4 linked regions of the Rattus norvegicus genome follow. The protein of the gene in region 2 binds, or shares a complex with, the protein of the main gene of each other region. Links are inferred from orthologs where the notes say so. Each region holds a gene or a part of one and is shown on either strand. Other genes may lie near its edges. The genes, in order: Dydc1, Lrrc23, Nme5 and Dnajb13.

Region 1 (6,569 bases), on a different chromosome or scaffold from region 2:
GGCCAGTATGCACTTTGGTATGCTAATAGGCACCACATTCTGCCAGTGATAAGGGAACATACTTTTTTTGGTAGAGAGGAATTGGCTTTGGCTTCACAAGTTCCTGCAGCATGCTGGCTCTTAACAAGCACCACAAGTTCTCCTATAGTTCAAGCTGGACCCATTTCTGGATACTCGGACTGCCTTCTGGAGTTTGAGGAACTGTGATTTCATTTGGAGCTAAAACTACAGACTGGCAACCAAGACTTTGGGGGTCACTTAAAAGATGCAAACCGTAACATTACCTTTCTTAGAATAACCAACCAAATCACCCTTGCCGATCGCTGTTACGTTCAAGCCCGCTTCTTCAGCTTTTCAGCTAGAATACGTCAGACCAGGAGTCCCAGTGGTCATCAGTGTTGAAAGGGCCTGGCTCATTATTAGTCAAGGGTGCTGAAGACTTTTAACCAACCCACACAATATTCCCTCTTAAGTACAGAGAAAATAAGGCCCTGGAGAGAAACTCTGTGTATACAGCAAGCTGTGCTATTGTGAGGTTGGAAGCTATTCTATGACATAGACAGCAGAGGCTCATTTACTTTACAGGGAGAGAGAAGGAGGAAGAAAATGATGGGCCTGCAAATGATGGGCCTGCCAAGCCTCATCTGACATGCAATACCACAGCACGGCTTTAGGGAGAGCGGATGATCCTGCATTTCCTAATAGGTGTCAAGAGTGGCAGATAATGTCGTCTGACACAGAAGTTGCAGTACCAGAGCAGAGCCACAGCAGCACAGAGACCTGCACCAGACAGCCCACGTCTTGGTGTTGCCACTTACAGCGGTGTGCTCGTCAGCAAGTTGCTTGGTGTCTCAGAGTCTTGGCACCTTTTAGAAAACAGAAGTAAAATACATACCTCACAATATGGAAGGAGCGAATGGAGCTACTGATCACGTGAAAGGCACTGAGCCTGGCATACAGCAAGAATTTAAGAAACAGGAGCTATTACGGAACAAGATTTTGTCAACATATGTTCCTAGCACCAAGCCTCCATATTCCCAGTTTTTCAGCTCACGACTGAATAACTAGACATTGGTATAGAAAATATAAATACATTTTACCCCTCACTGATATCAGAGTCTAGAATCGCAAATACCCCAGGAGCAGTGAATGCTGCCAGCACTCTTTGTTTCTTTGTTTTTCTCCATGAGGCGGGGTTTCACTGTGCTAGGCTTGCCAGCAACTCCCTAGGTAGCCCACCATGGTTGAACATGCTTTTTCCTGCTGATCCCTTCCCAGTGATGGATGCGAGGTGTGCACCACCATACCCAGCTGCAAAGGGGGATTAAATATTGTTCATGAATTAAGGGATCGTAGATCCTTAAGGAAAAGTTTGGCTCCAGGGTTGGGGCAAAAAAAAATATAAGCAGCCAGAGACAGTTTATTATGCCAGGAAGTAAGACTCTGACAATGTAGACACAGGAGCCATCTTGAAGGCTTATTCCAGTGCTACATTTTTGCTTCCACAGGAACCCATAATCTCAAACCCGGAACCTGTGGATGTTATGTTGTATGATAAAGGGGGCTTTGGAATTGTGATTAAGGATCTTAAATAAGGAGTGTGTGTTATACAAGCGGGACCTCTCAGTTACTTTTCTATTGGTGGTGAAGAGATACCACGATCAAGACGGTTTACAAAAGAAAGCACTTAACTTGAAGCTTTGCAGTTTTAGAGGGGGAATCACAGCCGCCATGGGATTGGGAGCATGGGCACAAGCAGGCACGGTGCTGGAACAGTTCTCAAAAGCTTGTCTTCACGTTGGAGGTAGGGGCAGACAGAGCGAGCCTGCTGTGGACTTTTGAAACCTCAAAGTCCACCCCCAGTGACACACCTCCTCCAACAAGACATCTCCGAAGCCTTTCAAAAGAGTTGCAGCAACTGTCAACCAAGCATTCAAATATCTGAGCCTCTCGGGCTCATTCTCACGGAAAGCGCCACATAGGCACAGCTGTAATTGCCAGAGGTGTCAGTAAGGCCAGACGTGGAGGGTGGCAGAGTGACAAAACACATGGAAGAAGGAGCATGAAAGTCAAGATCATGTCCAGAGACAGCTTCTAGAAGTCAGAAGACAGGGAAACGGAACATACAGAAGGGTTTGTGTGGATTAAGTTTTCCACATCCCTGCTGCTTCATGTGATCGGACGAGGAGTTGTTGTTTGGTGAAGTGCAACTTCCGATATCTTAGATTGAATATATGTGTGGCTCGACGAAATCCCCAGTGCAACCCCCAGTCACTGATCCTCTCGCTATTCTCGTAGAATCCCAGCACAGAATCACCAATGCACTGCCAGAGCGTCTCTCCATGCCTGGATTACTGAGTGACTGCTGCACTGCTTAAACGCGACAAGCCCTCTGAGGATACCACCCCTGGCACTTGTCCCACATTCAGTACCGAGTAAAGATGTCTGAGTGCTCTGATGTTGGGGGCGGGTGGGCAAAGGAAGGGCTCAGACTCTGTTGATCCATCAGCGTCCCTTCTTGCATTTATGCAAGCCTCTACCACCGAGCAATGCCAGGCCCATTGTTTGCTTTTTGTTGCTCTGGTAAACACTATGACCCGGGGGGAGGGGGGAAGAATTTATTTGGTTTACAGATTACACTCAGTCTATCATCAAGGAAAGCCAAGCCAGCAACGCAATGGGAGAGTGAGCGTGAAACAGTAACCATGAAAGGAAGGCTTTCGTTCTCTGGCTGATTCGGCTACCTTTTCTACACAGCCCAAGCCTGCCTTCTCAGGGACAAGCACTCCCCATAGTGGACATATGCCCATAATTAGCAACCAAGAAAATGCCTCCCAGACACGCCCACGAGTCAATCTGATGGAGACAATTCTTCATTTGAGATTTCCTGCCCCCAGGTATATCTAGGTTTGTGTCACATTGACAAGAACTAACCACGCACACCAGGGGAGAGTGCAAGCTAGAGCCTGGTGGAGGGTGTCTTTGGGCTAGCTGAAGTTGCTTGTGTGTGAGTTCACTCTGATATTTTGGTTGTGAGCCTAGCCTTTAACGGCTGAGCCATCTCTCCAGCCCGTGAGTTCACTCTGAAAGGTCTTAAAATTACCAAGCCAACAAGCCTGCAGCCTTGAAAGTGTCTCTCCTGACTTCAAAGATCTGCTGCTCCACAAGGCTCCTATCTAAGAAGAGTCCCCGTGTCTGCTGGGTTCCTCCCGCTGTTTCTCCACAGTGTTTCCTTTCCCATAAATCTGGTTCTCCCATCTGCGTGCCCCCTCCCCTACAGTGCGCGTTCCTGGCTCTATCGAGAGTGCACCCCCTCCCCTAGAGTGCGAATTCTCCTTTCATTTCCCTTTGCCTCCACTACTTGGGCTGCAATGGAACCTTAGCTCTACACTAGAGCGTGCTCTCGTTGCCAGGCAACGGGACGCGACTCACTGGCGTGTGGCCAGAACGTGCATCGGATGCGTGCACCAAGGAGGCTGGAGCGTTTTCCTTCGAACCGGCCCTCTAGTGTCTCTGCAGAAGCAGTTCTAAAATTTTCACCTTGAGAGTCAAGTAGGTCTCAACTCAGAATCCGAGGGAGGGTTAGTTCTCCTGTAAGAGCCTTTGGAGCGCAAGGACTCCTTCTCCTTCCTCCTCTCTTCCGGCTCCTCCTCTTTCTCTTCTTCCTCCCCCCCTCCTTCTCCCGCCCTCTAGCCACCCAATAGGAAAACTAATCTAAGTGTCTAGGTTGGTGGCTGCCTGATTGAAATTTACTTTTAGATAAGCAGGTTACTTGCTAGCACAAATATATATAAGACAATTATTCATTGTTTCTCAGAAATTAGGTCTGCGGTGGTTTTGAGTGCCGAATCCAGCACTCTTCCCAGGTCCTGGCAGAGAACCTCCTCCATTGTCTCAGAGCAGCTGCTCCAGATGTTTCTGTGGGAGCGGACTTTCTTCTGTGAAGCTGGATGAGCACTGGTGTTTGCTGGGAAATAACACTTCTTAGGACAGAAGAGATGGCTAGTAGTTTCCTAACCTGACCAGGAAATGTATGTTGCAGAGATGACAGAGGGACCTCATGAAAGCCCCACGGAGAACGCTAAGCAGCTGCCAGAGCCCCAGATCCTATGTTTTTGGAGCAGCAGGAAGAGTGTATTCCATGTTGTATATAAATGACACTGATACGTCCATGTGGTGATCTTATCTATAGAGAATTTCCCACAGAAGAAGCACCGTGAAGACACAGCCCAGTCAGTTGCCGTGTTTGTCTCTCTGTGATTAGGACACCAGTGCCAATCTAGTTGGAAATCAGCGTATTTGTGCCAGCTCCAGTCGTTCTTAGGGCTACACTATACATACACGTGTATATTCCTTTGGAAGCAGGAGCAATTTCTACATCTCCCTTTTCCTCCTGCATTGTGCCTCACTAGGAAACCACTGCCTATTTTAGAGAGCATTTCCAGCCCCTTATATTGTGGCTGGATTCCATGGTGTTGTATGTAATTGATCCCCTGCCAGGACATTCAGACAGCACTTTCAGTCTGACTATAATAATAACGTGTGAATAACCACGTTCACATGTCACTCCAGTCTTGAGTCTGCACCTTTGAGACAGGAGTCGAGAACTGCAATGGTGAACATATTCTGGTCTTTTAATCTCATTGGGTCACAATTCTGGGCTTGGGTGGGATCATTTGTTTGGTCTGTTATCCTATATAACTATAAATAGAAATAGTCACCCTAAAAAATACTCACGTATCTGCCTTCATACCTGAAAAGACTGGGGAACAGCTGAGAGTAGGCACACGTTTGATTACTTGCCACCATGGAGAGACAGCAGGGCACACACATGCGCATGCATGCACACACATACTAACACTCTCTTATACACTTTGTAGGCAGCATGACAAGGGCTGTATGAGCTACTTGAAGTAGGAGAAACTCCCTTGTACTGCTTGACAAAACTCCAGAGCCAGACATGATCTGTGGCTCGAAGGAGGAGGTATGTTCCAAGAGTAGAGAGGAAAGGATTATTGAGATGGGAAAGCACAGTGTGATAGCTAGAATATGGCAGGATATTCAGTGGGGTAAGAGCCCAGGATATATGATGACAGGGACGTGCTTGAGGTGAGTCTTAAGGGAAGCTGTGGTGGTTTGAATATGCTTGGTCCAGGGAGTGGCACTGTTAGGAGGTGTGGCCTTGTTGGAAGAAGTGCGTCACTCTGAAAGTGGGCTTTGAGAGCTTCTTCCTAGCTGCCTGAGGAGGATGCCAATCTTCTCCTGGAGGCCTTCACATTAAGATGTAGAATTCTCAGCTTCTCTCCTGCAATGCCTGCCTGGATACTGCCATGGTCCTGCTTTATGGATAATGAACTGAAACTCTGAAAATGCAAGCCAACCCCAATTAAGTGTTGTCCTTATAATAGTGGCCTTGGTCACGGGCACTGACTAACACAGAAGCTGATACCAGAGACTGAGGATCGCTGTGATACCATGGTTTTGGCTGGAGGAATGTGGCTTTTGGGACTTTGGATTTGGAAAGCCATGGAATGCTTCAAGTGAGGCTTAATGGTTCGTCCTAGTAGGAATATAGAAGATATTGGTGATTTGAACTCTGGAGATCTTTCTTATGCTTTGGTGAAGAATGTTGCTGCTCTTTTCCCTTGTCTGAAGAGTCTGTCTGAGACTCAGGTGAAAGGACTCAGATTAATCACACTGATAAAGAAAGTCTCAGGAACACCCAGCATAGACTTTGTCCTCTGGATTACTGTCATGAAGATTGCTCTGATTAAGCATAGCAAGCCTAAAAAGAAAAACTACAAGATGTATGGTTCAAATAATAAATGGGCACCAGGAAGTGCAATGGAATGAAATCCTGCGTTCAAGTATATTAAATAGATTAAGGGAGTGGTGACCTCAGGACAAGATCCCACCCAGCTAAGCTTATTGTTTATGTGTTTGCAGTTGGACAAGGAATAGTTATATATCACGTTAGGTATTGTTACCTGGTTATTGTTTTCATTTTGACTTTTAGTCTAGAATGAACTACAGTCCAGAAATGGAGAGTACACCTGTGATCCATGTCTTAAGGTTGGAAGAGACAGGCTTGATTCGGATCTTGATGTAGAATGACACATGCTTTTGATCCAGATCTTGAGGAACAGTGACCATGAAAAACTTAGGTCCAGGCATTATGGTACATGTCTTTAATCCCGGGCGGGGGGGGGGGGGAGAGAGAGAGAGAGAGGAAGAGAAGAAGAAGAAGAAGAAGAAGAAGAAGAAGAAGAAGAAGAAGAAGAAGAAGAAGAAGAAGAAGAAGAAGAAGAAGAAGAAGAAGAAAGGAGAAGAAGGAGAAAGGAGAAGAGAGGAGAGGAGAGGAGAGGAGAGGAGAGGAGAGGAGAGGAGAGGAGAAAAGAGAAGAGAAGAGAAGAGAGGACAGAGAGACAGATACCTGAGTTCAAGGTCAGTCTGCTACGGAGCAAGTTCTAAGTAAAGGAAAGCTTAGGTCCAGGTGTGATGGTACATACCTATAATCCCAGAACTCAGGACACTGAGACAAGTACATCTCTAAGTTGAAGTTCAGTTTG
Region 2 (6,749 bases):
GAAGAGGGTATTGGATCTCTTTACAGATGGTTGTGAGCCACCATGTGGTTGCTGGGAATTGAACTCAGGACCTCTGGAAGAGCAGTCAGGTGCTCTTAACCACTGAGCCATCTGTCCAGCCCGTTGGATAACCTTTTAGAAGACTCGTCCTGGGAAAGACTAATTCTCACTCAGGTCTTCATCCAGGGCTGGGACGTGTGAGATGTTTTCCATCCACCTTAGCACGTCAACTAGGTTCCCTTTGTTCAGTTCTGGTTTAATTTGAGCAGTTGCGTTGTTGATATTTCATGAGATAGCCTGCAATTTCTTCCTCTGTTGAAGCCATGGATCCCGGGCTGACCTGTGGTCCCTGAATTTCTAATGGATTAAAGGAATTTTTAGACTGGTGCAGGTGGCAGCAGTGTTCCTGCATGGAGGGAAGAGGATCCTAGGACGTGGAGGCCCAGGAACCACATGGCTCTGAGAGGATGTCTCCTCAACAGAGGGAGGTGCAGCTCTCAGGGGAGCTGAGCTCAGGAGCTCAGGAGTCCCAGCCCCACTCCACCTCTCCCCGTCTGCTCTTCATTGCTTCTCGGCTCCGCTGAGAGAGTCACACCAGCCAGCAAATCTCACAAAAGAAATGTATTGGAGGGTCCAGGAAGTGGAGGGACGAATCCAGGGATGACTACCCTCTGCTCCCAGGAGTGCACAGCAGGGAATTGGACAAAAGGCAGGGTTTACATAGGGTTTCTTGGGGGTGGAGACCTTCAGGGCAGAGATTTCCAGATTGAGGATTGGTGGGATTTCAAGTTCTGATCTTGGGGAGCTCAGAAATGGATGGTTTTCCCTGTTCAGGAATTGGTAGGTGTTCCTGCTTAGGGATTGGTGGGTTTTGTGGGAATTTCAGGGATTGGTGGGTTTTCTTGCTCACGAAAACTTCAATCCTCCTGCCTCAGCAACAAAGTGCTGCGATTACAGGACTGTGTCACTTAACACACTTCCACATGCAAAGCACTTCCGGCATTTGGAGTACATTAACATTACTCTTTTTGCCTCTAATTCCAGTACTTGGAAGGCTGGGGCAAGGTTGCTGTGCATTTGAGGCCAGCTTGGGTCACACAGTTCATTCCAGGCCATCCTGGTCTACACAATGACAATTCTGTCTCAAAATATCATTTTTAATTTCTCTCCTCACGATAGCCTCAGAACTGAGAATCCTGGGGCAGGGGCAGGGGCAGGGGCAGGGGCAGGGGCAGGGGCAGGGATTTGTTTACTTAAGGGTCAATCAAGTACAAAGCCACTTATATTGTTTTTGGAAATTCTCTGTTCCTTTGAGGTGAGCGCTGTTTCATTTTGAAGTAGCCCAGGCTAGCCTGGAACATTCTCCTGCTTCAACAGAGAGCTGCCGTTTACGGCTGTGTGCTACCCTGCATAATTCAGCAATATATCTTTAGGTAATCTAGGCTGACGAACACACAGCTATAGAGTGATAGAGCCATTTGGAACCCAGTATTTATACTTTAAACCCAGTGCTGTTGCTAGAGCCCCCATTCCTTGACACCAATAGAACAGATTTGTCTATTATGTTCTTCAAGCCAGACTGATCCAAAGGAACACTTCCTAACTTTCAGCCCACACATATTCCATCAGACCACGTGGCAATCTTTAAAAAGACTAGTTTAACTAAGTGTATGGTTGTGTGCGTGTGTGCGTGTGTGTGTGTGTGGCGGGGTATGTATGTGAAGGCCAGAGACATTGGATCCCCTAGAGATGGAGTTATAGATGGTGGTGAGTCACCTTTTGTGGGTGCCAAAAACCAAGCCTGAGTCCCCTGCAAGTACACGAGGTCCTTAACCACTGACCCATCTCTCTGGCCTCCGATTTGCATTTTATATAAAGCATGTAACAATTAGTCCCATGTCTTCCTGTATTAAGTGTTCTCTTTTCCTTAGATTCCACAAGATAGTGCTAGCTGGGTGTGGTAGCCCTCACCTGTAATCCCAGCACTTAGGAGGCTGGGAAAGGAGTGACTTTGAGACAGCCTGGCCTACATAGAAAGACTGCTTCACAGCAAAAGCAGCCACAGCAAAGACCCAGAGTAACTCAGCAGACTCTGCTCAGTTGTTAAAGTTACGTTTATTCTACAGAATTCTAGATAGCTGCTAGTAAACTGCAGAACTGCCAAGACTCCAAGTCGGGGGGGGGGGGGGGTTGGGGATTTAGCTCAGTGGAAGAGCGCTTGCCTAGCAAGGGCAAGGCCCTGGGTTCGGTCCCCAGCTCCGAAAAAAAAAGAAAAAAAAAAACCGACTCCAAGTCGGACTTTATTGTTTTAGATTTATTAATTTATTAATAATTTATTTTATATGTATGCTCGTTTGCCTGCATACATACATTCATGCACCATGTGCCTGTTCTGTGCAAGTAGAGGTCAGAAGAGGGCGTCAGATCTCTCTAGAGCAGGAGTTACAGATGGTATGTGGGTGCTGGGAATGGAGCTAGATCTTTTAGAAGAACAGCCAGTGCTCTTAATCGCTGAGCCATCTCTCCATCACCTGCAAGAGGGAGTCGCCGGGGTCACAAGCTGGGTCTTAAAGCAGTTTGCTCCACCAGTCCACCTTCCAAGACCTTCCAATAAATAATGAGCCAAACCCGACCAGCAACAAATCCCATAACGTAGTATTTCTTGCTTCTCTTAGTGTCTTTCCTCTCATCCATCCCCCTTTTGCTTCTTAGGGATGGTCTACAATTCCTTTGCATCCAGACATCTAGTTGCTTTAAGGACTTAAAGGCCAGCCCAGCCTCCCTCCCGCTTCTCAGCGCTGCTGTTATAATTAGACCATTGTTTTATGTCCCCCGACAATTAAGTCCGTGACACTCTCTTCTCGCCTCCTCCAGGTTCCTGGGATTAGGAATTTGGCCTCGTAACCTGGCAACCACTGCACTACCCGCTGAGGGTGGAAATAGGGGCGTTAGGGTTTGTGCTTTGCGGTTGAGGTGCTCCAGGCTCTCAACGGAAGCTGGCTGCAAAGCTAAGCATCCCGCCCCCGTTGCCATAACAACAGTATATAACTCCTGCTACCCCGTTGCGTCTTCCGAAAAAAACAGTCCTGGCCTCTCAGCACAAAGATCTTCTTCATAACTACTTCTAGAGGAGCAGAGTCAGGGTCTGCTCCCACTTCTGAAGGCGAACTGGGTTGGAGGGTTGAAGACGTTATCGTGTCAGGGAAATGGTGGTGTTAAGCAGGGAGATCGCATTAGAAGAATAGGGGTTGGGGGTGGAAGAGAACCTGGAAGTGAGGTGTGGGTAAGGAAGGGGAGAAGGAGTTGGTAGGGGAGATTTTAGGAGGACATGTAGAACTGGATTAAAGGGAATTCAGGAAGGAGGACGCTGGGCTGCTGGGGCAGAGTTGGAGGCAAGGAAAGGCAGGAACAGTTTGGGAGTGTGGGAAAGTGTCCCGAAGGGAGCCGGGAGCGGGGGGAGGGGCGGGGGGCTCCAAGCAGAGACTGGGAGTCCAAAGACGCTCTCCAACATGAGGAAAGATATGCAGTTGGGAGTTCAGAGGTGACAGAGGCTGTATGTGTAGGGTACCCGTAAGTGGATGTGAGGGACTGGAGGGCTGGTGGGCGTGGGAGCTAAGACCTCCTTTCTTAGGACCAGGACTGAGTTTCGTCTGACTCCGGAGCGCAGGGGAGAGAAAGATGTCGGATGAAGATGATGTGGAAGATGACTTTGATCAGGAGCCGGATGAAGTGGAAAAAGAAGAGGATGACAATGAGATGGAGGACTGGGAAGACGACTACAGGAAGGAGGGGGAAGAAGTCTCTGAGGAAGTGAGAGCCGGGACCAGGGCTCCCCGGGCTCAGGACTAGAGGGGGACTGCAAAGGGATGCCTGAATTACCCACCTCTTGCAGTGGCTGCCCACCCCCCTCACGGAGGCCATGATGAAGGAAGGGCTTTCATTACTCTGCAAGATTGGCAGTGGACTGGCTCACGCTTATATTAAGCTGGAGGTTAAGGACAGGTGAGGACTGAGAGACGGGAGCATCACGTGCCTTCCCTCTCTCTCTCCTGAGTGTTTTGGCTAGAGCTCTCTCTCTGGTCCCAAGCTGATGGGAAGAAATGGTGGGGATTTGCTTTTCAGAACTTCCGGGACTCTTTGGTGACTGGGAGGGTGACTTAGCAGTAGAGAGCTTGCCTAGAATACACAAGGCTCCGGGTTCACCCCCCAGCGCCAAGACAACACATTAAAGCTTCCGTGGGGGGTTGGGGATTTAGCTCAGTGGTAGAGCGCTTGCCTAGCAAGCGCAAGGCCCTGGGTTCGGTCCCCAGCTCTGGAAAAAAAAAAAAAACTTCCGTGGGAAGCTCTGGCATCCTTTCATAGTGGAGTCTCAGAGATGTAGCTTAGTGGTTAGGAGGCAAGGTACTAGTTTTGATCTCTGCACTGAAAAACAAGAAGAAAAACCCCACTTGCCTCTTCTTTCCCTTCCCTCTCCGTCATCCAGTACAAGCTATCTCTGCGTTGCTCTCTGTCCGAACATCTCTGTTCTTGCTGCATTTGAACTCACTCAGTTTTAGCCCAGGAAGGCCACAGCCTTGTTATTCTGCTGCTTCAGGGTCCTAGGTAGTAGTAGCTGGGTCTGTAGGTCTGAACTAGTAGGCCTAGCACAAATGTTCTTATCCTTTATGGTGGATCTTCTCCTGGCCCCCCAATCTCCTAGGGACCTCACAGACATCTCCTTACTGCGCTCCTACATCCACCTCCGCTACGTGGATATTTCTGAGAACCATATCACAGACATGTCACCACTCAACAGTCTCACTCACCTACTGTGGCTCAAGGCAGACGGCAATCAGCTCCGGAGCGCCCGGCTGAACGAACTGCCCTACCTGCAGATCGCCAGTTTCTCCTACAACCAGATCACAGACACCGAAGGCATCATCCATCCCCGTCTGGGAAGCCTGGATCTCAAAGGTGGGTTCTTAGGAAGACACACACAGAACTTCCCTTCCTTGCATGGAGCTGACAGAAATAGGCAGTATATGCTATGAGCCACACAGCCATCTGTATACAGGCATTCATTGGTTAAGACACGTGCTGGGCCGGGACTTTGACGCAGCGGTAAAGCCTTGTCTATATACTTATACAGGGCCTAGCTGAAAACAGAGGCCTATTAAAATTAATTGCGTTCTTTTTTAAAAATTTACTTTTAATTACATGTACATGGGCACATGCAGGTGTCTGTGTAGACCAGAAGAAAATGTCAGCTTCTGGGGAATCTGCCTGATGTGGGTGCTGGGAACCGAACCTGGGTCTTCTGAAAAAGCAACCAGGGCTCTTCACCACTGAGTCATCTCTACAGCCTCTCATAAGATTCTTTATGCTGGAGATGCTGACTGAACAAAGCCAGAAGTCTCTATTCTCGTGTAGAGTCCACTCTGTTTAGGGCGCTGAACAGATAACAACATAGTAAGTAGATAGAAGCCGGGTATGAAGGCTCACAACTGGGACCCTACACACTGGAGGTGTGAGCAGGGTTGATGACGTTCAAAGGCAGTCTGGGTCAGCTTGGCTCGCAGGGTGAGACCCTGTCTAAAGAACAAAGCATAACTCAAAAAGGAGGTAAATTCTATAGAAAATAGAGTGGAGAAAGATTGTAAAATGCACAAGTGCCATTCTCTCTCTCTCTCTCTCTCTCTCTTCTGGTACAAGGGACTGAATCTAGGATCTTGTGCATGCTAAACAAGCACTCTTCTGTCGAGCCATATCCCAGCCCTATTATGACTTTTTATTTCATTTTTTAAAAGATTTTTAAAGGTTAGCATGTTTATGCATTTTTTGCATGAGTGCTTTGTCTGCATGTAGGCCTGCACACCAGAGGATGGCATTGGATTCCATTATGGATGGTGTGGTGATTTGAATATGCTTGGCCCATGGGAAGTGGCACTTTTAGGAGGTGAAGCCTTGTTGGAGGAGGTGTGGCCTTGTTAGAGGAAGTGTGTCACTGTGGAGGTGGGACTTTGAGGTCTCACATATATGCTTAAGTCTGCTGGTTTGATACAGAGTCTCCTCCTGGCCGCCTTCTGATCAAGAGCTCTCAGCTCCTTCAGCACCATATCTGCCTTTCAGACATGGTAATGGACTGAACCTCTGAAACTGTAAGCCAGTCCCAATTAAAGAGTTGCCTTGGTCATCGTGTCTCTTCATGGTAATATCCGACAGCCCCAAAGTCCATATTTCTCCAAACAAAAACATGATCAGGCTTGTCAGAGCAACACCCCCGTCCTGGTACCAACTTCTGTCTTAGTTAAGGTTTCGTTGCTGTGAAGAGACACCATGGGCCAAGAATTTCAAACCACCATGTGAGCCACCACGTGACTGCTAGGGATGGAACTCAGAGCCTCTGGGAGAGCAGGCAGTGCTCTGAGCCATTAAATTCATCTCTTCAACCCCAGAATTTACTTTTAATTTTGGGGAGAGGGGCATCTTGTAAATTTCTGAAGCTGCACTTGAACTCACTCAGTTGTAGCCCAGGAAGGCCGTAGCCTTGTTATTCTGCTGCCTCAGGGTCCTAGGTAGAAGTAGCTGGGCCTACAGGTCTGAATTGTAGGCCCAGCACAAATGACAATTTTAAACTGGTTGTTTAGGTGAAATGCCACCTGACCAAAGGTATGCAGGGAAGAAGGACGTCGGCCATGAGTGTTGCTCAGGCATTAGCAATTCATTCTCAAAGTATAGATGGGCAAACCCAGGTCTACTTGCCTCAGAGC
Region 3 (6,024 bases), on a different chromosome or scaffold from region 2:
GAAGCTCTAGAGAGGGGCTTGCTTGCTAGCTTGCTTTCCTTCCTTCCTTCCTTTTTTTTTTTTCTTTTTTTTCTTTTTTTCTGGAGCCGGGGACTGAACCCAGGGCCTTGCGCTTCCTTGCTCCATGCCATGTAAGGCATTTCCACAGTGACCAATGGGGTAGGGCCCAGCCCATTATGGGTGGTGCCACTCCTGGGCTGGTGGTCCTGACTTTTTTTTTTGGTTCTTTTTTTTCCGGAGCTGGGGACCGAACCCAGGGCCTTGCTCTTCCTAGGCAAGCGCTCTACCACTGAGCTAAATCCCCAACCCCTCTTTCTTTCTTTCTTTCTTTCTTTCTTTCTTTCTTTCTTTCTTTCTTTCTTCCTTCCTTCCTTCCTTCCTTCCTTCCTTCCTTCCTTCCTTCCTTCCTTCCTTCCTTTCTTTCTTTCTTTCTCCTGAACTAGATACTCTGTTTCTGTTGTAATTCTTCCTAATTACCCATGAGGCTTCAGAAACCTGTTGGTACGTGGAGGGTGGAGCATAGAAGAGGTAACAAATTAGCAAGAATAGTGCAGGGGGGCGCTCTGTCTCCGCCCCAATCACTGCTCCTTTGTTCTGCACTCAGTAAACTTGTCTTTTTCCAAACAAAACAAGCTACGAAAGTCATAAATCAATGTGGAAATGATAATTCCACTTCTTTTCCCATTTCCTCCAATTTGAAATCATGAAGCCGGTGAGCCTTTAAAAAGCAGACATACAGAGGAATAGTGTGCTGTCTTTACGTACTGGGGGGTGGACCTAGGGCTCCGTCCCAGGCAAACCATTGCCAGTGAGCTGCTTAGGCCTCCTTTATTTACCTAGTTTTTTTTTTTTTTTTTTTTTTTTTTGGTTCTTTTTTTCGGAGCTGGGGACCGAACCCAGGGCCTTGCGCTTCCTAGGTAAGCGCTCTACCACTGAGCTAAATCCCCAGCCCCTACCTAGTTATTTTTAAGATTATCCTATTTTTGTTCATGTCTATGTGAATGTATACCACATGCGAGCAGATGGTCTCAGAGGCCAGAAGGCATTGGGCCCCTGGAGTTGGAGTTACAGACAGTTGTGAACCGCTTTATGTGGGTGCTGAGATCTGAATTTGGGGTCCTCTGGAAGAAAAGTTGACCTTAGCCATTGAGCTCCTCCCCCCCCCTTTTTTTTATTTTGAGACAGGCCCGTATGTCTTGGTTGGCCTTGAACTACTGCTCTTCCTTCCTCCACCTTCTGAGCACTGGGATTTCAGGCATGCACTGCATGCAGCCTGTTTGTCCAGCCCTCTGCTTTGAGGCAAGGTCTCAATGTCCTATCCACGGGCAAACCTGCTATCCACCTGTGAGCGTGTTTGATTTATCTGGGCCAGCCTCCTGAGCAGCTGCCAGCATTGGTTTGGATTGGCTTCTTCTCTTGTGTGTGTGGGTTATTGTTATTTAGTTTAATTTTAAATTGTATTTATGGGGGCTGGAGAGATGGCTCAGTGGTTAAGAGCACTGACTACTCTTCCAGAGATCCTGAGTTCAATTCCCAGCAACCATATGGTGGCTCACAACCATCTGTAATGGGATCCAGCATCCTCTTCTGGTGTGTCTGAAGACAGCTACAGTGTAATTTATATACATAAAATAAATAAATATATTTATTTCTCTGTATAATCACAAATTTAGCAAGCACCATGTGTAAATAGTTCCTTAATAAACAGGTACAGTGTAGGCATAACAACTGCTATGACAGCATCCAGATGACCAGGCAGGAAGATCACTGTGGGTTTGATGCTAGCCTAGTGAGTTCTATACAAGCCTGGACTACAGGGAGACCCTACCAGATAGCCAGTAATAATATCAATTATAATACCTTAATAATAAATGTAAAGATGTAAAACTCAGATTTAAAGTTCACATCATGACAGTTATACACTCTTGAAGGCATCCCTTTTCTCATAGCTGTATAATGTTTAATCACTTATATTTGCTTTTTAGTAAGAACTTCTTTGTATTTGCAGTGATTATCGAACCCATTCCAATTGGACAAGCTGCTAAGGACTATTTGAATTTGTACGTAGCACCAACCCTACTTCAAGGACTCACAGAGCTTTGCAAGCAAAAGCCAGCAGATCCTTACGTAAGATACTTTTTTTTTTTTAAGATTTATTTATTATTTATAAGTACACTGTAGCTGTCTTCAGGCACACCAGAAGAGGGCATCAGATCTCATTACAGGTGGTTGTGAGCCACCATGTGGTTGCTGGGATTTGAACTCAGGACCTCTGGAAGAGCAATCAGTGCTCTTAACCACTGAGCCATCTCTCCAACCCCCGTAAGATACTTTTTTATTCTCATTGGAGAATACTTACTGTTTGTGGTTTTCATATTTCAAACTGTAAACTTGTTTGTTTGTGAGAGAGGGTCTCACTATGTGGTCTTGGCTGTCCTAGGGCTCACTGTGTAGACCAGGCTGGCCTCAAGCTCTCACAGATCTACTTGCCTCTGCCTTCTGAGGGCTGGGACTAAAGACACCACCATGCCTACTTAAATATTTATTCTTTCAGTCTGAAGACTCACAGGTTCTGAGGCTTGCTTGGGTGTTGACTCTGTGGTAACCAAGCAAGACAATTTAGTGAGACAGTGCCTCAAAATAAAAATTTAAAAAGGCGCAAGGCCCTGGGTTCAGTCCCCAGCTCCGAAGAAAAAAAAGAAAAGAAAAGAAAAGAAAAAAAAGGTTGGGGATTTAGCTCAGCGGTAGAGCGCTTGCCTAGGAAGTGCAAGGCCCTGGGTTCGGTCCCCAGCTCCAAAAAAAAAAGAACGGAAAAAAAAAAAAAGAGAAGAAAAGAAAAAAAAATTTAAAAAGGTAGACTGGTCACTGTGGCCAGTGCCTTTAATCCCAGTACTTAGAAGGTAGAGTCAGGCAGATCTCTGTGAATTCGAAGTTTGTCTGGTCCACACAGTGAATTTCAGGCCAGTCAAGACTATATAGTGAGACCCAGTACAACCCCCTCAATGGTGTGTGTTGGGGACTGGGGAGGGACAGAATGTAAGTAGAGAATCAGCTCCCAAAAGCTGCCCTCTGACCTCCACAGGTGCACTCTGGCATGTATGCCTTCCCGGCAGCACACATGGTGTTAGGGGTGTGGTGTGATAGCAGGGCACTTACTGGGCATAGCCAAAGTGGTGGGGGCTTCACTTTGTGGTGGTTTGAAAATGCTTGGCCCAAGGGAAGTGGCACTTTTAGGTGGTGTGGCCTTATTGGGGGAGGTGAGCCTTGTTAGAGGAAGTGCGTCATTGTGGAGTTGGGGCTTTGAGGTCTGATGGTTGTACAGCACTCAGTACTCAGGAGACAGAGGCATGCAGATCTCTGAGTTCAAAGTCAGTTTACAAAGCCAGGATAGGCAGGCTTAGGAAACGAAGGAAATCACTGAAAACAGAAAACTTGTGAAGATGTAATAGTCAAGGAGGCCAGCCCCGGGCGGCTTGAGACATGTGGCTCTGGCTTTACCGTCAATAATAGAATGGATACTGGGTCAATTGATGCTGGTCAGCTGGTGCTAAGAAATTAGCGGTGATTAAGAAGAAACCAGCATCAATCTTCTGGGAAGTGTTTTCTGAGAGCACAAGAAGCTATGTTCCACACACAGCCAATGGTGTGCCTTGTGCTGCAGCTGGACTTGGTAATGTGTAAGGATCATCCCAGTGGTACTTACTGGTTTTGAAGGCATGAAGGGGTCATGGAGAGCAGCCGAGGCTGGACACTGTGAGAGGCCAGGAAAGGTGAAGGTGTAGCCTCAGTGGCCCTTGAAAGCCCAGGACTAAATGGGTCACGCAAAGGACTGAGGCTTGGCACCAGAAAGAGAGCTTCCCCCTGGCTGCCTGCAGAAGACAGTCCCCTTCTGCTGCATGCATCCTGCCGTGATAAAAGACGGAAACTGTAAGCCAGCCCCACTTAAATGTTAGCCTTTTTAAGAGTTAGCCGCCTTGGTCATGTTATCTTTTCACAGCAATGAAACCCTAAGACAAGTTTCCAACACAGAAAAATATAAACCTGTGTTTGGCTTATTTCACTGTTTTATTAGCCAGTCAGTAGTGACAAGCATGTGTCACGATCCCATCCTTTCCATGGGTGAATAGTGCCCGTTCGATCGTGTGAGTCCAGTTTCCAGTTGTGTGTCAGTATATAGGAATGCAGTTACTGGGCTCGTTATTGTTACTGGAGCTACTGCTCAGTTCCAGTCCGGTTCCTGTCAGGAACTGCCCAATCTTTTACACGGGTGGTTGTTCCATTCTACCCTCCCATTTGCAAGGTGTGAGGGCTCCAGTTTCTCTTTGCACCACCGTGTCTATTGTTTTACTTGCTCATTAACAGCTGCCCTAGTAGATGTGACAATGGCTGATTTGCATATTCATGATGCTGAGAGCATCCTGCCAGGAGTTTGGGAACCTTGTCTGGGAACTCTGAATCCAGGTTCAAGTTCAACATGTGTGGGACACACACACACACACACACACACACACACACACACACACACACACGCATGAATGTGAGTGAGAGACAGAGGCAGAAAGAAAGACAGGCGCTGGAGAGATGGCTCAGTGGTTAAGAGCACTGACTGCTCTTCCAGAGGTCCTGAGTTCAAATCCCAGCAACCACATGGTGGCTCACAACCATCTGTAATGAGATCAGATGCCCTCTTCTGGTGTGTCTGAAGACAGCTACAGGGTATTTATATAAATAAAATAAATCTCTTTTAAAAAATGAAGAAAAAAAGAGAGATGAGGTGGGGGTTGGGGGGTGAGTCCTTTGTAAAGCCGGCTGGCCCTGAACCTAGGCCCCTCCACCTCAGTCTCCCGAGTGCTGGGCTTACAGGCAGGAGGAACCGTAGCTGATCTCTGGATGGAGTTCGTTCCTGTGGGATCATTGCCTTCTACGACAAAGACAGGCTCACCTCTCCCTTTGAGCTGTACTTGTTTTACCGCCACAAGTAATAGTTTCAAGGTTTTCTGTTTTGATTTCGGTCATTTATTTAGTATATAGTTTTAGATTCACTGATTTTATATGGATGAGTGTTTTGCCTGCATATATGTCTGTGTACTGTATGCTTTCCTGGTGGCTGGAAAAGTCAGAAGAGGACGTGGGGTTCTTGAGACTGAAGTCAGGGCAGCTGTGAGCAGACATATGGGTGCTGGAGATGGAGCTCAGGCCCTAAACAAAACCAACGTGTGCTCTTAACAGCAGAGCCATCTCTTCAGACACACTCTATTTAATTTTGAGGAAAGGTCTCTTTCTGTAGCCCAAGCTGTCTTAAACCCTTTATAGAAAAAAAAATCATTTTTTTCTTTGCTTCTTTACAGAAGGAGGGCAGATGGTGTGAGTTTCCCTAGAGCTAGAGGTACAGGTGGCTATGCACTGCCTGACGTGGGTGCTGGGAGCTGAACTCAGGTTTTCTGGGAGAGCAGGACACACGCCATCGCCCCAGCCCAGGCCTTAGGTCTTGGTTCTCCTACTTTACCTTCCTTGCCTTGCTAGGCCTGCCTTTCTTTTTTCAGGCACGATCTTGCTATGTAGCACAGGCTGGCCTTGGACTTTGCTATATAGCCCAGACTGGCTCAAACTTGTTATTCTCCTGCCTCTAGACCTCCCTCATCCCCTAGTGCTGGGATTACAGGAGTGAGCCACCACACCTGGATTCCATTTTCTTATTCTTTGTATTAGCATGGCGTAGTTATACATAATGAGATATTATGACATTTTCTTACATGTACATAATGTTGGGTGGTTTCTTTTGCTTGTTTGTCTGTGGCAGGGGACAGGGCTTCACTATGAAGCCCTGGCTGCCCTAGAACTTTAGATATAGACCAGGCTGGCCTTGAATGTTGGTTTTTAGACGAGGTCACTGTCTAGCCCTAGCTGGCCTACAGTAGAAAATGTATCTGATCACAAATGTGTGCGCATCCCTCTGACCCACTCCTGCCGACTCCTTTCCTCTTTCCAGCTAACCCCTGTGCTGCTGGCCTGGCATGTCTTTGT
Region 4 (4,963 bases), on a different chromosome or scaffold from region 2:
TGTGCATATGCGTGCATTTCTGTGTGTCTGCATCTGTGTGTGTCTCTCTGTGTGTCTCTGTGTGTGTCTGTGTATGTGTGCATCTCTGTGTGCATCTGTGTTGTGTCTCTGTGTGTGTCTGTGTGTCTGTCTGTCTATCTGATCTGTGTCTTTGGACATCATTTCTGTTACTCATCCTCCTATCTCTTTTAGAATTTTTTGATGCAGAAGGAAATGATATAGATTTGAATTTTGGGGGGCTTCGGGGCCGAGGGGTCCAGAAACAAGACCCTCCAATTGAACGAGACCTCTATTTGTCCCTGGAGGACTTATTCTTTGGCTGCACCAAAAAAATTAAGATCTCCCGAAGGGTGAGTACTAGGCTGGCTCCCCTTACCAGGCACCATCTACCTCCACAAACCTCCCTGGCAGGTCCCCCTCCCCCAACAGGAAAACTTGGCAACCTTTTCTGATGGAATCATGAAACTCTTAGGTCAAAAGACTCAGCAATTTTAGACTTTAGACTTTAGAATCGAAATTTGAATGAATAATATAAAGATTCAGCCTTTTTTTCTGGTACAGAAGTCCCTTCTGCATCTATCTAATGGGAACAGGGTCTCTCCCTTCCCAGTCCAGCCACCCTAGTGGAAAGCGGAGGAGTGGGAGTAGAAAGAATCTGCCATTCATTTCACTCCAGGGCATTACAGACCACACCCCAAGGACTGTGTGCCTCAGCCACAGGGTGGGCATGGAGGTGGGCAGCACAGTCTCTAAGGCGACAGCTTAGCGAAGACCCTTGTGAGTAGTTGCTGTGAGTAGTAGTAGTCCTTGGACTGACCTGACTATGGCCTGTGGTTCAGCCTTCTTCCTCCCCTTTGCCTGGGGGAGATACCCACTGTGGCCATGCTGTCCAAAGGTGGCACTGTGAGCTCATGGGGTTGCAGGCACAATGGAGGGGTGGGGGAAGGGATGCTTTGCATGAGGCTCAGTATTTTGCCTTCTGAGAGGTCCACTGCATGCTTGTGACCAGCCCCCTCTTTCTTCATATGAACCAGTAACTTCCTAGAAACCGAAGTCTGGGGTCTCTAGTGATCTTGTAATAGACACTGAGGGGTAGTGGGGCCTAGTGTAGGATAGGGAGGACGTTGGGATTAGGGCCAGACTTCTGGGATTTGGAGATAGGAAACTTTCACTATGTTTTTGTTGGTGGCCAGCACTTGTGGTGACTGGTGTCTCAGGCCACAGCTTCATCAACTTGAGGACATGCCTTGCCTTGGAGAGTCACAAGCTCTTAAATCTAGTGACAGTGGGATGGGAGTGGGAATGACTCTAGTCCCCCATTACTATGGGTACAGAGTACACCCTACAGGGCCTTTCCCCTGAGACAATTCCCCGTCCCTACCCCTGTCACCGTAGGTGCTAAATGAAGATGGGTATTCCTCTACCATCAAGGACAAGATCCTGACCATCGATGTGAGGCCTGGGTGGAGGCAGGGCACGCGCATCACCTTTGAGAAGGAAGGGGACCAGGTGAGAGGGAGAGAAGCTGGCTCGGGGCAGTCAGTCACCAGGTTCAGGTAGTGGGGGGACCGAGAGGGAAGGAACACATTTTTTTCCTGTTCCTACAAGTTTTGGTCTAGAGTTAGGTGGTCCCCAGAGCCCCTTCCCAGGGACAGAGCATCCCAATGCTTCTGTGAGCTCAGCTTGGAGATCACTACCATTTTCCACAGTGGGAAACTGAGGTCCGAGATGGAAGAAACTTGCTCAAGATATGAACACAAAAGGCTGAAAGAAGGGCCTGGGGAGATGACCCAATACCACCCAGGGATGGAGACCTGGACTTGGTCCCCAGCGCCATTGGCAGAGCCCCTGTGATACCAGTGCTGGAGAGGCAGAGACAGAGGATCTTGGGGTTTACTGAACAGCCAGTCTGAATTGATGTGCTCTTGGGTCAGGAGAGATCCTGTCTCAAAAAATAAGATGGAGAGCAAGTGTCAATTTGTCGCCTCCGCCAGCACATACATGAATATAGGCCTGTGCTCACACAGAGGAAACACGCGTGTGCACATATACACACATACACACAGACAGAGAGGAACACACACACAGTGTAACACACACAGAGGAACACACATACACAGAGAGACAGAGACAGAGAGAGACAGAGACAGAGGAACACACACACAGTGGGACACACACACACACACACACACACACACACACACACACACACACACACACCCCTGGCGGGAGAACTCAGTTCAGCTTCCCTTCCAGTGTCTTTCCTTGGTGCAAGGAGAAAGATGTTCAGAAGCATTTAATTAATAACAATATTAAGCTAAAATACCTGTGGAAACATTGTTATTGTACAAGGATCCCAAGTGCTTACATGTTGACAAGAAACAGTAATGGCCAGCTCAGAGCTGAGAGAGATGGATTCTCTTGCCCCCACTTGTCCCTTTCTTACGTGGAAAACACCTGCTTCCAACAATCATGCTTCAACCTGGGCCATTGCGAGCCACAGCAATTCAGGAGGCTGAGGCAGGGGATCACTTGAGCCTTAGGAGTTTGAGTTCAACCTGGGTGACATAGCGAATTCCAGGCTAGTCTGGCTACAGAGTGAGACCCTGTCATAAGTAAGCGAGAAGACAGGCAAGCAAATAGATATTCAGTGCCAACATCCTCCACTCTGGCCAGCTTTTCCCAACCTTGGCATGGCCCAGGGCCTCCTCAGAGCCTAACCTCTGGCCCTCCCTTCATCTGGGCTTTGAGCTTACAATTTTTGACTATAAGGCAATTTCTGACCATCTGACTATTTCTTGTCCTGGGAACAGCAGCTGCTCTTGCTCTCTGTCTTCAGTGGTCAGAGTTGAGGCAGCTCACTGAAGCGAAGAGATCACTGCTGAGTTTCTGTTAGGCAGAGCAGCTGTTTGACCCCAGCTCAGGGTCTAGCTATCACTTGCGGAAGTCCCTGCCCCACACTACTGAGAACACTTACTTTGAGCATGCTCAGTAGAGAAGTGCTTTGGGAGTGGGAAGTGATTTTGATCTAGGGAAGCTTCTCTAGAGGGTGGCCCTAGGCCACACTGAATGCTCCCTCTAGAAAACTGGGCCTAGTTCTCCTTGCACAGTGAGGACCTGGAGACAAGTAGAGACAGAAATGTGGCCAAATCATATAAGCAATAAACCCGTTACCCCTTGGCTTTCCCCGCCTAGGGCCCCAACATTATCCCGGCCGATATTATCTTCATCGTAAAGGAGAAGCTGCACCCTCGCTTCCGCAGGGAGCAGGACAACCTCTTCTTTGTGTACCCCATTCCTTTGGGCAAGGTGAGTGGGTACAGCGCAGAAGGCCATGGGGGCCCAGAGTGAACCCCACCTGCAGCAGCTCAGTTCCATCTCTTCTCCCCTAACCAACTTCTGCAGTCACAGGCAGGGCCCTATATCTCTCTCCCTGGCATTAGTTGGATCTGTGGGACAGCCCCTCCCCATCTCATCTTCCCACCCTGTCCTGGTCCTGCTGCTGTCCCCAGGCTCTCAACATGTCCAAGTGGTTCTCCTCAAGGTGCCCCCGTTGACTCATTCTTTGCACTTCAGGTCTCAGGGTGAGGACACCTGCCCACCTCACCCTAGAGCTGCTGCCCCTACTGTGTGGCAGCATTCAGAGCCTGTCACCCCTGCCTCTCAAAAGCCTTACACTCTGTCATCACGGAACTGCCTAGCTCAGGGTTGGAACCCAGGTAGACTCCCAGACACCTTCTAAATAGAATGGCTGCAGTGATGCCCTGTAGACCTCTCTCTCACTCTAACCTCCCCCACCCTCAGGCCCTTACCTGCTGCACTGTGGAGGTGAAGACCCTTGATGACCGGCTGCTCAACATCCCCATCAACGACATTGTCCAGTGAGTCTGTCTGCCTAGTCCCCAAGTAGCCACAGAGAAGATGGACTAAGACTTGGCAGGGCTGTGCAGGGAACCCTGGGAACCCAGGCTAGGATTCAAATCCACTGGCCTCTGCCTGAGCCACGGGCTGTGTTCACCCTATGGTGGGATCACCTTTCTCTAACCCATGGGAAGCCCCTGCATAGGCCCGAGAAGCCCAGTGCTGGTCCATCTCTTGTCTCCATCCCCAAAATCTTCATCAGAGCATGGAGCAGTAGCTCCCAAGTCTTGTTCCAAGAAAAGTCTCAGAGAAGCGAAGGTCTGACTCCCACCCCAGGTCGGCCTCGAATCCTAGGGAGAGTTGTGCAATCCCGGGGGGCGGGGGACCAGCCAGGAGGGTACTCACTTTGAGCAAGGATTTCCAGGAGTGTTGTGAGTCTTCTATGCTCCTTCCTTTCTTCTCTTTCTGTCTCAGCCCCAAGTACTTCAAGATGGTGCCAGGTGAGGGGATGCCGCTGCCTGAGGACCCCACCAAGAAGGGAGACCTCTTCATCTTCTTCGACATCCAGTTCCCCACCCGTCTCACACCCCAGAAGAAGCAGATGCTGCGCCAGGCACTGCTGACCTAATTCCGGGGGACCTGAGCAGGAACAGGGATGGAGAGGGCTAGCTGGGCCTTGCCCGCTCCTACCCCCTCAGCCCCCACAGCCTGTGAAGATGGGGAAGCACGAGATCTTAGGCTGACATAATAAAGATTCCTTTCCTATCCTCTAACTATGACGGGAAGCGAGTCGGGGGGATGTTACCTCTAGGAACCAAAAAGCTAGGCACCTGGGGCCCCATTTTGGCTTCCTAGGCATGGACTTGTTCACTGAGACTTCAGAGTCTCTTGCAACACCAGACAGGGCTGTGTGACCTCCAGGGTCCTTCTGTCTTGACGTCTCACAACATATATCTTTAGAGGAACCATCTGTGGACTGTGCTGTCTTGAGAACTACGGACAGGGAAAGTGAAGCACAGGAAGAGGCAGCGGCTGTCCCGGCGCTCCTGTGTCCGTGGCTAAGCAGCCATCAGAACCCTAGGCCACTCCATCTAGGCTCACA

Evidence for each region.
Region 1: Lrrc23 (region 2) and Dydc1 share a complex: the UniProt entries of both Homo sapiens proteins name them as parts of the axonemal radial spoke complex. The link is inferred for Rattus norvegicus from reciprocal best matches to the Homo sapiens genes LRRC23 and DYDC1.
Region 3: Lrrc23 (region 2) and Nme5 share a complex: the UniProt entries of both Homo sapiens proteins name them as parts of the axonemal radial spoke complex. The link is inferred for Rattus norvegicus from reciprocal best matches to the Homo sapiens genes LRRC23 and NME5.
Region 4: Lrrc23 (region 2) and Dnajb13 share a complex: the UniProt entries of both Homo sapiens proteins name them as parts of the axonemal radial spoke complex. The link is inferred for Rattus norvegicus from reciprocal best matches to the Homo sapiens genes LRRC23 and DNAJB13.

The regions. Positions count from the first base shown.
Region 1 is NC_086034.1:16,972,382-16,978,950, forward strand, and holds the start of Dydc1 (DPY30 domain-containing protein 1), read left to right. Parts: upstream 1-2,650; 5' UTR 2,651-2,897; intron 2,898-3,398; exon of another isoform or gene 3,399-3,653; intron 3,654-6,569. UniProt on the Homo sapiens protein: Functions as part of axonemal radial spoke complexes that play an important part in the motility of sperm and cilia. Plays a crucial role during acrosome biogenesis.
Region 2 is NC_086022.1:159,274,064-159,280,812, reverse strand, and holds the start of Lrrc23 (leucine-rich repeat-containing protein 23), read left to right. Parts: upstream 1-3,048; 5' UTR 3,049-3,143; exon of another isoform or gene 3,144-3,631; 5' UTR 3,632-3,678; coding exon 3,679-3,810; exon of another isoform or gene 3,811-3,892; coding exon 3,893-4,002; exon of another isoform or gene 4,003-4,699; coding exon 4,700-4,953; exon of another isoform or gene 4,954-5,571; intron 5,572-6,749. UniProt on the Homo sapiens protein: Essential for sperm motility and male fertility. Plays an important role in the proper assembly of the third radial spoke (RS3) head and the bridge structure between RS2 and RS3 in the sperm flagella.
Region 3 is NC_086036.1:26,439,999-26,446,022, reverse strand, and holds part of Nme5 (NME/NM23 family member 5), read left to right. Parts: exon of another isoform or gene 1-2,008; coding exon 2,009-2,127; exon of another isoform or gene 2,128-6,024. UniProt on the Homo sapiens protein: Functions as part of axonemal radial spoke complexes that play an important part in the motility of sperm and cilia. Does not seem to have nucleoside diphosphate kinase (NDPK) activity.
Region 4 is NC_086019.1:164,261,546-164,266,508, reverse strand, and holds part of Dnajb13 (dnaJ homolog subfamily B member 13), read left to right. Parts: exon of another isoform or gene 1-192; coding exon 193-350; exon of another isoform or gene 351-1,395; coding exon 1,396-1,509; exon of another isoform or gene 1,510-1,942; intron 1,943-3,195; coding exon 3,196-3,309; intron 3,310-3,804; coding exon 3,805-3,881; intron 3,882-4,266; exon of another isoform or gene 4,267-4,335; coding exon 4,336-4,489; 3' UTR 4,490-4,963. UniProt on the Homo sapiens protein: Functions as part of axonemal radial spoke complexes that play an important part in the motility of sperm and cilia.